Linked DNA regions of Xenopus tropicalis. The main gene of each other region encodes a partner of the protein of the gene in region 2 in a complex. Links are inferred from orthologs where the notes say so. Each region holds a gene or a part of one and is shown on either strand. Other genes may lie near its edges. The genes, in order: ccdc153, efcab2 and fbxl13.

Evidence for each region.
Region 1: efcab2 (region 2) and ccdc153 share a complex: the UniProt entries of both Homo sapiens proteins name them as parts of the nexin-dynein regulatory complex. The link is inferred for Xenopus tropicalis from reciprocal best matches to the Homo sapiens genes DRC8 and DRC12.
Region 3: efcab2 (region 2) and fbxl13 share a complex: the UniProt entries of both Homo sapiens proteins name them as parts of the nexin-dynein regulatory complex. The link is inferred for Xenopus tropicalis from reciprocal best matches to the Homo sapiens genes DRC8 and FBXL13.

Annotation. Positions count from the first base shown.
Region 1 is NC_030683.2:80,326,755-80,330,510, forward strand, and holds the start of ccdc153 (coiled-coil domain-containing protein 153), read left to right. Parts: upstream 1-939; 5' UTR 940-1,128; intron 1,129-1,178; exon of another isoform or gene 1,179-1,354; intron 1,355-3,756. UniProt on the Homo sapiens protein: Component of the nexin-dynein regulatory complex (N-DRC), a key regulator of ciliary/flagellar motility which maintains the alignment and integrity of the distal axoneme and regulates microtubule sliding in motile axonemes.
Region 2 is NC_030681.2:51,986,763-51,990,518, forward strand, and holds the start of efcab2 (dynein regulatory complex protein 8), read right to left. Parts: upstream 2,761-3,756; 5' UTR 2,703-2,760; coding exon 2,678-2,702; intron 901-2,677; coding exon 816-900; intron 442-815; coding exon 369-441; intron 1-368. Other genes in the region: splicing factor YJU2, read left to right, coding at 2,883-2,906. UniProt on the Homo sapiens protein: Component of the nexin-dynein regulatory complex (N-DRC), a key regulator of ciliary/flagellar motility which maintains the alignment and integrity of the distal axoneme and regulates microtubule sliding in motile axonemes.
Region 3 is NC_030679.2:77,930,375-77,934,030, reverse strand, and holds part of fbxl13 (dynein regulatory complex subunit 6), read right to left. Parts: intron 424-3,656; coding exon 330-423; intron 154-329; coding exon 86-153; intron 1-85. UniProt on the Homo sapiens protein: Substrate-recognition component of the SCF (SKP1-CUL1-F-box protein)-type E3 ubiquitin ligase complex.

The DNA.
Region 1 (3,756 bases), on a different chromosome or scaffold from region 2:
CGCCTAGTATCAGCTACTTGACATGGCTACAGGAATAACCAATACTGATCATTTACTGATAATTGTCTCTAAGGGACACATTTACTAATCCACAAATCCGAATCCCGAATGGGAAAAAATCGAATTGGAAATGAAAATCTTGCAACTTTTTCATCGCCATCGCGTTTTTTTTTCGTATTTTGCGTGATTTTTTCGTCGCCGTCACGGCTATCATATTTTGTGCGACTTTTTAGTCGCCATCGCGGTTTTTTTGTATTGAGCAATACGTATTGAACCAATCCGATTTTTTCGCGACGGCGACGAAATAGTCACGACAATTTGTGAAAAAGTTGTGACGGCGACGAAAAAGTCTTGACAATTCGCAGAAAATACCGATCATTACGGAAAAACGCATTCGGACGTTCGTGGATTAGTAAATGTGCCCCTAAGTGTGGTTTAGCAGAGGCAATTCTCAGTATTGTCTTTGGCAGGGTATTTTCTGGGGTTTAGTAGCCGTCACAAGTAGCTGCTACTAAATAGCTCCACGTGTCTTTACCCAGAGAGGATCTAAACCCAAAAACATTTAGCATAATTTAAGAAGATTTAATTTAAAGCAATTTTACATTATACATTACATTTCAAATGTTCAGCGGTCTTAGGGCTCTGGCACATGGGGAGATTAGTCGCCCTAATCTCCCCGTGTGCCAGAACCCTTAAAGTTATTTGTAAATGTCATTGCTACTGAAAATGATATTTCTACTATAAATACCTTATACACACATAATGGAAAGCTGGGAGTGTAGGATAGCATAGAGATGTTTTTTATTTCATTATACAAAAAACATTTTACGGGTATAGATTACCTTTAAGTTCAGACTCTGAATCTTTAATATGTTTTGTTTTGTTCTTTTTATTAAGGTGATTTGCATTAACAAATTTCTTGTTTTTGTCTCTTCTCAGAGATTTACCGGTACCTTGTTGTTATACATCTTTTGTTACCATTACAGAAACCTAGCAACCTTTTGTATACAATTCTCTCTGAATCGGCTGGGCAAGGTTTGTGGGCAGGATCTTAAAGTGTCTTCCTGCTGGGTAAGCATTTCTCAGTGAATATCACTTTGTTGTTCTGCTGAACAGGATTCATTGCAGGTAAGGGCCACTTGCTGATATTTGCTGTTTAAAATACAGTATGTTATAGAGTTGCGTATTTGGAAAGGCAGCATGTGGAAAAGGAAGATGGCATCGTTATCATGGGCAGCCCCTGCAGTTGCTATGTCTCCACTATCCTCAGGCTCTTCAGTGTTGCTCTAGGCCTGACTGGATACCTGCATCTAATGAGAGACAGAATCAGAAAATAATCAGTTTGCAACGAAAGGTAATCAGATATAGGATATCTTATGATAAGCATACAGAGCAGGGTTGAATGGCTCCTAACTATGCAATGCTGCAAAACTACTTTGCAATGGATTGAAATGTAAGAGGTCATTTACAACCTTAAGTTCAGCGTGCAGTTTTTGATGCAAATCACCATGTTTTTTAATTCAAACTTAATTGTGGGCACACAGCAACTTGCACATGCTGTGTCAAAACAAACAGAATTGAGCAGTGCAGCTAACATTTTTTAAGAGTTAGGATTGCATCACTTCCGAGAGTCAGCATTAAAATTACGTTAGTGTTTAGTTCTTTTGTCACAATTCTATTGCACTTTGGTTCATCACAATAAGCAGGATGAGGAATGACACAGTGGTGCTTGGCGCAACTATACAGAAGTTGAGGAGGTGTTACTTTTAGGACTTCTTTACATGTTACATCAACACACAAAACTAATTTCTAGGGATGCACCAAATCCAGGATTCAGTTAGGGATTCAGCCAAGATTCGGCCAAATCCACACTCCTGGCTGAACCGAATCCAAATGTTTTCTAATATAAACCTGCCGTGGTAAATCACAAGCTGAAGAGCATGCTGTTCTTTGAGTGCCAACTATTATACTGGCATATACATTTTTGTTCCTAGAGCATTGCACTTTTGTTCATAAATGAGCACTAGATTGGTGTCCAAACTATTTTTATTAATACAATGCAACATTTTTCACTGTCTGATTTTTACTATAATATTGCTTAACACACACACACACATATATATAGTGAATAATGTACCCTCTTTTTTAAAATATAAGGATAGCCATTCCACAGAGGAGTTTCGTGACCATGAGTTCTTATATCCTCTTATTTTACAACAGTGGATACATTTAGTTATTATAAATACACAAGTTTCAGTGAGCCATGTGTCAGAAATTACATCATTAAGCATCGTTATAACTGATGCCATCACTAAGCATAATTTTTAAGGATATAATTATATGATATTCATGGCACTTCTGTGTTATACATATAGGGGCTGATTTACTAAGACACGATTTCGAATCCAAATTGGAAAAATTCCGATTGGAAATGAACATTTTTTTTGCGACTTTTTCGGTAATTTTGTGATTTTTTCGTATTTTTTTCGATTTTTTCAGCGTCTTTACGATTTTTGCGTAAAAACGCGAGTTTTTCGTAGCCATTACGAAAGTTGCGCAAAGTCGCGCCTTTTTCGTAGCGTTAAAACTTAAAAGGCGCGACGTTTCGCGCAAGTTTTAACGCTACGAAAAAATCGCGACTTTGTGCAACTTTCGTAATGGCTAAGAAAAACTCGCGTTTTTACGAAAAAATCGTAAAATACGAAAAAATCGCAAAATTACCGATCATTACGAAAAAAACGCAATCGGACGCATTCGGCCCGTTCGTGGGTTAGTAAATGTGCCCCATAGTATATATAAACACAAACATATATATATATAGTGTACTTATGTCTTGCACAAAAAAATCAATTATAATTATTATAGTCCAGTGAAATTCTTTGCATTTAAGTATTGTTGTGCTGTAGGGTTGCCACCAGCCCTGTATTTCAAGGATTCAGATTCAGTTAAAAACCGGGTACAAATCCTCTAAACTGCATCCAGTGGACACAAGTTTCCATGGGTCCTTTTGCCATAAGGCAAGGTGAGAAGTCTCTCCTTTTCCAGGGGTGGCAAAAAATACTCCTGTAATTTTACATGGAGAATTCCCAATAGCTTTCTCCATTTACATGCAACTGCAATCTCCGCTGACCAATACCCAGTCTGAGAGAAGAAAATGTATGTACAGGTGATGGAAACATAAGGGGTTGGAAGCATCAGATCTGCCTTCTTGGACAGCAAAGAGCCTTGATGTGCACCCGCAGATTTCCCAGTGTGTGGAGCTCAAGGCAATATTCTCCAATATTCTGTGTGATCTGTTGTACTAATTTACTGGACAGTTTGTAAACATTAATCTAGTCATCTAAATTATAAATGATTTAGCAATAATATGGAACAAGTAGCACATCTGTCATCATCTTGAATTATATTTAGTACCATGGCCTTAAGCTATTTCAGTTAATTTTGTTAAGGTGGTCATACATGTTAAGATTTGTTTGCTATTTATATAGTCTTCATTCATAGGTGTATAGTTATGTTAGGTGGGGTCCTTCCCTACTAGTCTCACTAGTGTTCCTGTGCTAAGGGTAAGAGAACATGGTTTTACAATAAAATAAGGCAGTGAAGAACTCACATATAATGAGGGGCCTTAGTGTGACAAGTAAACTTAAATATTTTGGGGGATGTGTGGTGCTAATTTTTCAATATTAATTTAATATTTTACATAGGCCATAATTTGTGCATTGGCAATTATTAGTATGTATTAGTTTGCAGGATTGA
Region 2 (3,756 bases):
CTATATATTGATGTTCATTTATAGTTGCTCAGAGTTGCCATACTATTTTTTGTTTAGAAAATGTAACATTTTAGAAACAGACTTTAATAAAACAGTGCCCTCTATTGGCTGAACATGCTAACAAAGACTCGCAGAATTCTTGTTGCCTTTAACAGGCAAAAACTTTCTCAGCTACATCTTAAACGTGGGAGTTATTTTACACAGCAAGATAAGACATACAAAGGTTTTATCTCTTCTTAGGCAATAATAGGTCAGAATAAATATAAAAATATTTTTACTTTTACAGCTGCAATTTTTCAGTTTTTATTGATATGGGCACAATAAGTGCATATAGTTCTGTACTCTTTAACTTGTTTTTAAAACCTTACCTCTGCAATCATATCATGGAGTTCGCCTTCTGTTGGGCAACATTCTAAAGACCTTATGATTGTTCCAATCTCTCTGTTACAAAAGTAGCACAGTTAATGCATGAAACTTTAAAATAAAACAGGGTTAGGGTTAGCTTTTATATCCTGTTAATGTAAAAAAAATCTTAATTAGTCTAATAGCTTTAAAAAATAATAAATAAAATAAATAATGTGCATATTGTATACTTTTTTTAATGAGAACTCTTGACAAAGTAAGGTTTTGCTTGTTTAGTGTGTTGTTTTTTTTTACACAATACAAAGAAAATGATTACCAAAGCACACACACTTTTGAGATTGCATTAAATAATAAAAATGGCAGCTTTAGGAACTGAAAGCTTGTACAGCTGTCTTTCTCCTGTTTACCCAGCATTCTACAAAAAAAAACTACAGGGAAAATGTTATGTTTACCTGACATCAACAGTTTTGTTACATTCATGGTCAAAAACCTCAAAGGCTTCTGTAATTTTTTTCTGTAAATCTGTCACTAGAGATTCTGAAAAAATATGTGTAAGAAAATAATTAGATGCATTAATGGATTAGCAGGCATAGTGACATGCTTTACAGTTATACACTGTTTCCATTACTAATATGACTATTTGAGCTCCATCTGTGTGGAGAACCATCTGTCACCACTTCAAGTGCAACGGATCACCTCTTTAGCACACACAAAGATTTTGGCATGAAAATACATATATTTATATGTCACATGCCTGTCAGTGCACACACAGGTTCAGAAAGAGAATGGTGGTGCATTGCCTATTCTCAGATTGCGCTGAAACAGCCTTAGAACCAGGGCCGCCGCCAGGGAGGACAGTCCTGGGCCCGGTGGGTTTTGAGGTTTAAGGGGGGCCCGGCCGTGCTGCTGTGAGAGCTGCAGAATCGGGTAGCAAAGGACAGGAACCTGGGTGCCTGTATCTCCTTTACTGCTCATTTACCACAGAACTCTAAATCCTGGTAATTCTGCATGGGGATTGGATGGGTCCCTTCCAGCCCATTCAATCACCATGCACCTTTTCCGGGACTTAAACTTTATTGGCAAATGAGCTTACAGAAAGCTGTATGAGATAATAAGAAGCTGGCACTGGAGCGCTAGTCCTGTGTTCTGAAGGCTGCTGGTCACTGACTGCAGGGGGCCCTGGTAATCCAAGTGCAGCGTGGCCTGCGCTCCTATGACCATAAAAAACACCAGGACAACTATTTGCCCTCAAGGCTGCCCTGTACGGTGGTATTCTCTGTTGCTCATATACAGTATGTCTGTTCACACCATAACCTAAACGCTTGAATTAAGGAAATGGATTAATTGGCTTTGGCACTGACTATAATGGATAGAAAACAGAACATAAGCTACTAGCTTTTTTAACACACATTAAAAATGTAATTTGGTGCTTTTTTTTGCATTTATTACTTTTACAGTTTTCCTATATCTTGCACTGATCAGAATAACTTACTTCATTACAGCAACTTATAGTAGCTCATTGTCTCTTGCTTACATTTCAGGGTTTGTTTTTAGCCAACAGTATTGAGATGAGGTATAATAGTAATGGGTGCTAAATTCCAAAGTTTTGATTATAACTATCTTGCACAGAAGCCAATCCTAGTAACAGGGATGTGACTGGTGTGATCAGTACAATTTTAGGATATCCTTAGGTACACACCTACATACCTACACCTGCACGGCCCCCTTACGTTATCAGAGAATGGGAATTGCAGTACATTTTTTAAGGGGAAGTAAAGTGAAAAATCTAAGAGCCCTTATGGTGCCAGGTTCTTTATGAAAAAGACAATATTTTTTAATATAAATTTATTAAAAAAATCCATACAGGTTTTTTTTTTGTTTAACATAAATATAATCCCTTGCCTTTGATTCCCCCCCTTCACTTCACTAGGTCTGATGTACTGATCGAACAAAAGCTTAGATGCCCACTGGCTGGACAACAGATCCTGCTAATTGTGTTGTATGGGGCCTGTGAGTTCTGATGGCAGCCCTGCCTAGGATTATAGCACATTCTGCTGCCTGCAGTATATCAATACTAAAATTCTATTCCAAATTGTACCAATAGGTTAATTGATACTCTATCTAAAATGCACCCAGTATTTTAGTCACCCATAAAGATGAACAGGCGATTATTTGTAGAATGTACTTTACTCGTTTCTATTGATTTTCTAACAGGGTTCAGACCAAGTCTCTGTTAATTTCCCCTTCTCCTTCCCTCTCCTCGTCTCGCTATTTTTATCTGTTTTTTACATTTTGTTATGGAGCATTAACTTACCAGCGGCCTCCTTCTCATCAGTCATTTTTGTATCTGGTTGCTAGGTGACTGCACAACCCAAGTCATTTGACCACCTGGTGGCGCTGAGATGACGTGCGTGAATATAAAACACTTCCTAGCTGCTTGTTCCTGCGAGCGGCTGGAGCGTGACGTCATTGATCTGCGCCATTTGGAAAATACAGCTACAGAGGAGTGAAGAGTAACAATGTCTGAGCGGAAAGTCTTAAATGTACGTAATAGTAAGAAGGGACTTGGGGAAAGGGACAGGAGGCGCTTGGTTAAGGGATAGACCGGTTGAAGATATGTAAACAGCACTCACTAATAAAGACGTGGTGCGTCAGTAAAAACTCTGAGGATTGTGTTATAAAAGGTGCAAAATTCTGTACATGACTTGTTACCTAATGCAACCAATCAGCAAGTAGCATTTGCTGGTCACTTTTTTTTAACGCAAAATATGGCTTTCTTCACCCTGGCATACTTGTAACTTTTATTACGTATGAGGGATATTACATATGTTACATGTTATATAATTAATACTAAGAGAAGTTATCAAAGTAGTAAAGGCTGAAGTGAAGACAACTCTGCTGGGTCAGTAGTTCCAGCATTCCACTCTGTCAGCTTCAGGGGTAGGCTGCAAGGTCACCAGTATGAAATTCAATTATTATATTGTACATTTAAAGCAAGACAAATCTTGCTTCCTATGCCAGAAGCATCTTGTTTAAAAAGCTTGGTCATTCCACATACGTGCAGAGTTCAGCTAAAATGCATAACTATTATAATCATAATAAACGTTCTCTGGCAAAATCTGGCTAGTGTGCAGTAACAGGCGGATTACACATGGGGCAGCTAAATCAGCATGTCCCCTGTGTAGCAAAATGGTTTGTATGATATGGGCCTAGAGCTAACAGCGATGGCACTGGAAACTGGTTAACACAGAATATAGTCAGTTTATAGTGCGTACTACTAATATCAGTTGTCAGGGTCACGTTAAAAAACATGCTGAAGGTACTTTGATGTCTATGTTATGAAGATGTAAACTGTAATTAAAAGCCCAGCTTATGAATTCTTACATTTCTTGC
Region 3 (3,656 bases), on a different chromosome or scaffold from region 2:
AAATGACACTTATACAGAGCTAGCAATAAACATTTCTTAAGGTACTTTGTAATTCATCAAGCTTGTCAAGCAGTACAATACTTACTTAAAATACAGCTTCTGCAGATTGTTGATATAAAATGAGTAAGCTTTCTTGAGTAATTCTGAAGACACCTGCAATATAAAATATAGGAAAATTAAGAAATGGAAATCTTCCAGTTTATATGCTTTAAATGCTTGATTGCTATATAAATTTGAGACACAAAACTAAAATGTGACTGCACCCTCTAGTGAAAATAAAGAGAAGTTGAAACTAAGATGTAAGACATACAGGGCCGCCTGTTACTTACCAGTTGATCTTCATCTCTTCCAAAAAGATATTCTAGATAGCTTCCTGTCATTGCCTTAAATTTAGGTTTTTTTGCTTCTTCTATAAATGCATCCCTGTTGGATAATTAATGACATTGAATGCTTAATCTGGCAAAATAAATTACTAAAACCAGTTCTTGAGATCTTAAAAACTGTGACACACGAGATTTGTCGCCCCGTAAATAATTTCCTCTATTGGTGGTGACTAATCTCTTCTAATGCTTTCATATTGGCAATAATGTAAATTGGCGGTAGAAAATACATATGTTTTGCCTCAGATTTCCAAAGTTGCCTGAAGTTTCCTTGCGAAAGCCAAAACAACGCATATGTTTTCCTACTGGCAATTTATGTTCTTCTTGGTAGGAGAGCTTGTCAGGTAAATTAGGAGAGCTTATTGCATGTTCTGAAAATTATGATATAATTGGTATCACTGAGACCTGGTGGGATGAAATTTGTGACTGGGCTGTGAATTTAAATGGTTACACCCTATTTATGAAGGATATAGGGATTAGAGATGGTAGAGGAGTTTGTCTGTATGTAAAACCAGAATTAAAGCCTTGCGCTAAAACATTTACCAGGAACAGCAGTGGGGAGGGTGTTAAATCCCTTTGGGTAGATTTTTCAGCAGGGCTTAAGGTTACAAAGAAACTTATCATTGGTGTATGGTTTAAACCTCTCCGTATAAATGAGGAGAATGAAGCCCAGCTGCTATAATAAATTTAGGAGGACTCACAACTAGTCAAGTTGTTATTATGGGCGACTTTAATTATCCAGAGATTGACTGAAGTAATGGGGTGGCCAAGCAGAAAAAGTTAGCAGGTTTGTAAACATGCTAAATTACAACTTTTTATTTAAGGCAGTTCAAGAACCTACTAGAAAATATTCTCTTTTGGACCTGGTAATAACTAATAAAGCAGAACTTATCTCTAGCATTTATGTGGGTAAGCATTTAGAGAAAAGTGGTCATAACATGGTCTCCTTCGAGATTATGTTGCAAAGACAGCTCTATAAGGGAGTGACTAAAATTTTAGATGTGCAATATTTCTCAGTATAAGGGTATATCTGCAACATATTAACTGGGAAAGGATTTTCACAGGGTTAAACACAGAAGGAAAATTATATATCTTAAAAATGTTGTGTAAGTATATATGTCATTATCATCCCCTTGTAAGCAAGGAGAGACATTGCAAAGCAAAACCTTTATGGGTTGATAAAAGTGTTAGTGTCAAGGTTGGTAAGAAAAAATGTTCAAAATTCAAGTTAGCTGCACTTTCATCAAGCACAAGGAAGCCAATAAAGCATGTAAAAAAACAAGCAATGAGATGGGAATGGTTATTGCAGCAGGAGTAAAATGAATCCAGAATTATTTTTTAAATAAGTAAATAGTAAAATAAATGAAGCAAGAAAAGGTGGGACCCTTGTTATCACAGGGGAGTCAGTCGGTTGATGAGAACAGGGGAAAAAGCAAAAATTCTGAACTCTTATTTTCTTTAAAGGACAAGGAAAGGCAAAGTCACTTGGGGGTGCCAAAATGTTAGGCACCCCCAAGTGACTTTAATCGTTTACCTTGTACCCCGGGCTGGTGCTCCTGTTAGGAGAAAACAGCACCAGCCCGGGGTACCTGGAGCGATGCGCTTCCTCCTCCCTTCCGACTTCTCTGTTAAAGTTCGGCTTTTCACTGTACTGCGCATGCACGCGCTCGCGAACCAGGAAGAAGGAAGCGCTGCAACTACCCCGGGCTGGTGCTGTTCTCTCCCAACAGGGGCACCAGCCCGGGGTAAAAGATAGGCGATTAAAGTCACTTGGGGGTGCCTAACATTTTGGTACCCCCAAGTTACTTTGCCTTTCCATGTCCTTTAACCCTTTTACTGCCAGCCATTTTGGTCAAAGCGGAACTTGTATTGCCAGACAGTTTTTGAACATTTTGCACTGTTTCACTTTAGGGGCCTTTCCTCGGGGGGACTTTTAGTTTACCCAGGAAAACAATATATCGTTTTTTTCAGAACAACCTAAGCTTTCAAAATATGGTAGAATTTTTGTGTAATTCCAATTCTGTAACAAGATATAGGCTTCTAAATGTCTAAAAATGCAAAAAAAAATCAAATTTTCCATAATATAATCACACATACTAGAAACAAAAATTATTTTATGCACGAATATACAACTGATTTGGAAAGTCCCATGTCTCCTGAACGTGCCAATACCAAATATATATAGTTTTATGGAGATTTCTCACTTGTATAGGTCAAAAACTCCCAGCAGTACACTACCAAATTTCCAAAGCACTACTCCAGAAAGCTGCATACTTTAGATTTCAAGGCCAAAAATTCCACTAACAGAAGGTTTATCCCAGAAAATTGTACATTTTTGGAAAGAACAGATTCTGGGGAATACAGAATAGGCACAATGCTTTCCTAAAGTTATTGGTTTTTATCAGAATTTGTGATTTTTTTAAAAAATCGCTTCAAAGCTTCCAGTCTATAGTATCTTATCTCCTACAGGTCATAAAGTAACCAAATAAAACACCCTAAATATGAACGCCAGGGGTCCACTGAACAGTTTGATGCCCAATATGTATAGGTTTACTTAAGTATGTGGCATGTAGGGGCCCCAATGTGAACATACCCCATATGTACTGTCATTTCTGTCATTTCAGCTCCTGCAAAATCAACACATTTACATCATTATATGTGGGATAAAGCTAGTAAAAAGTACGCTCACCCCAGAAAGTCATATATTTTTGGAAAGTACACATTCCCCCGAATCTAAAATGGGTAACCATGTCTTTCTACTCCAAAGTACCAAGCCGCACAGCTTTTCTAAAGTTAGCAATTTTGATGACATTTCCAAAAATCCCCTCAAAGCTTCCACTTTGCAGCATCTTATCTCCCACATAGCATTAGTTACCAAGATAAAACACCCTGAATTTGAACACCAGGGGTCCACTGAACAGTTTGATGCCCAATATGTATAGGTTTACCTAAGTATGTGGCATGTAGGGGCCCCAATGGGAACATACCCCCATATGTACTGTCATTTCTGTCATTTCAGCTCCTGCAAAATCAACACATTTACATCATTATATGTGGGATAAAGCTAGTAAAAAGTACGCTCACCCCAGAAAGTCATATATTTTTGGAAAGTACACATTCCCCCGAATCTATAATGGGTAAACATTTCTTCTTGCTTCAAAGCACCAAGCTGTAAAGCTTTCCTAAGTTTGCAGATTTATATGACATTTCGAAAATCTCATAAAAATGTTGCAATTTGCCGCATTTATCTCTCACAATTTCTTGATAAAAATCAGA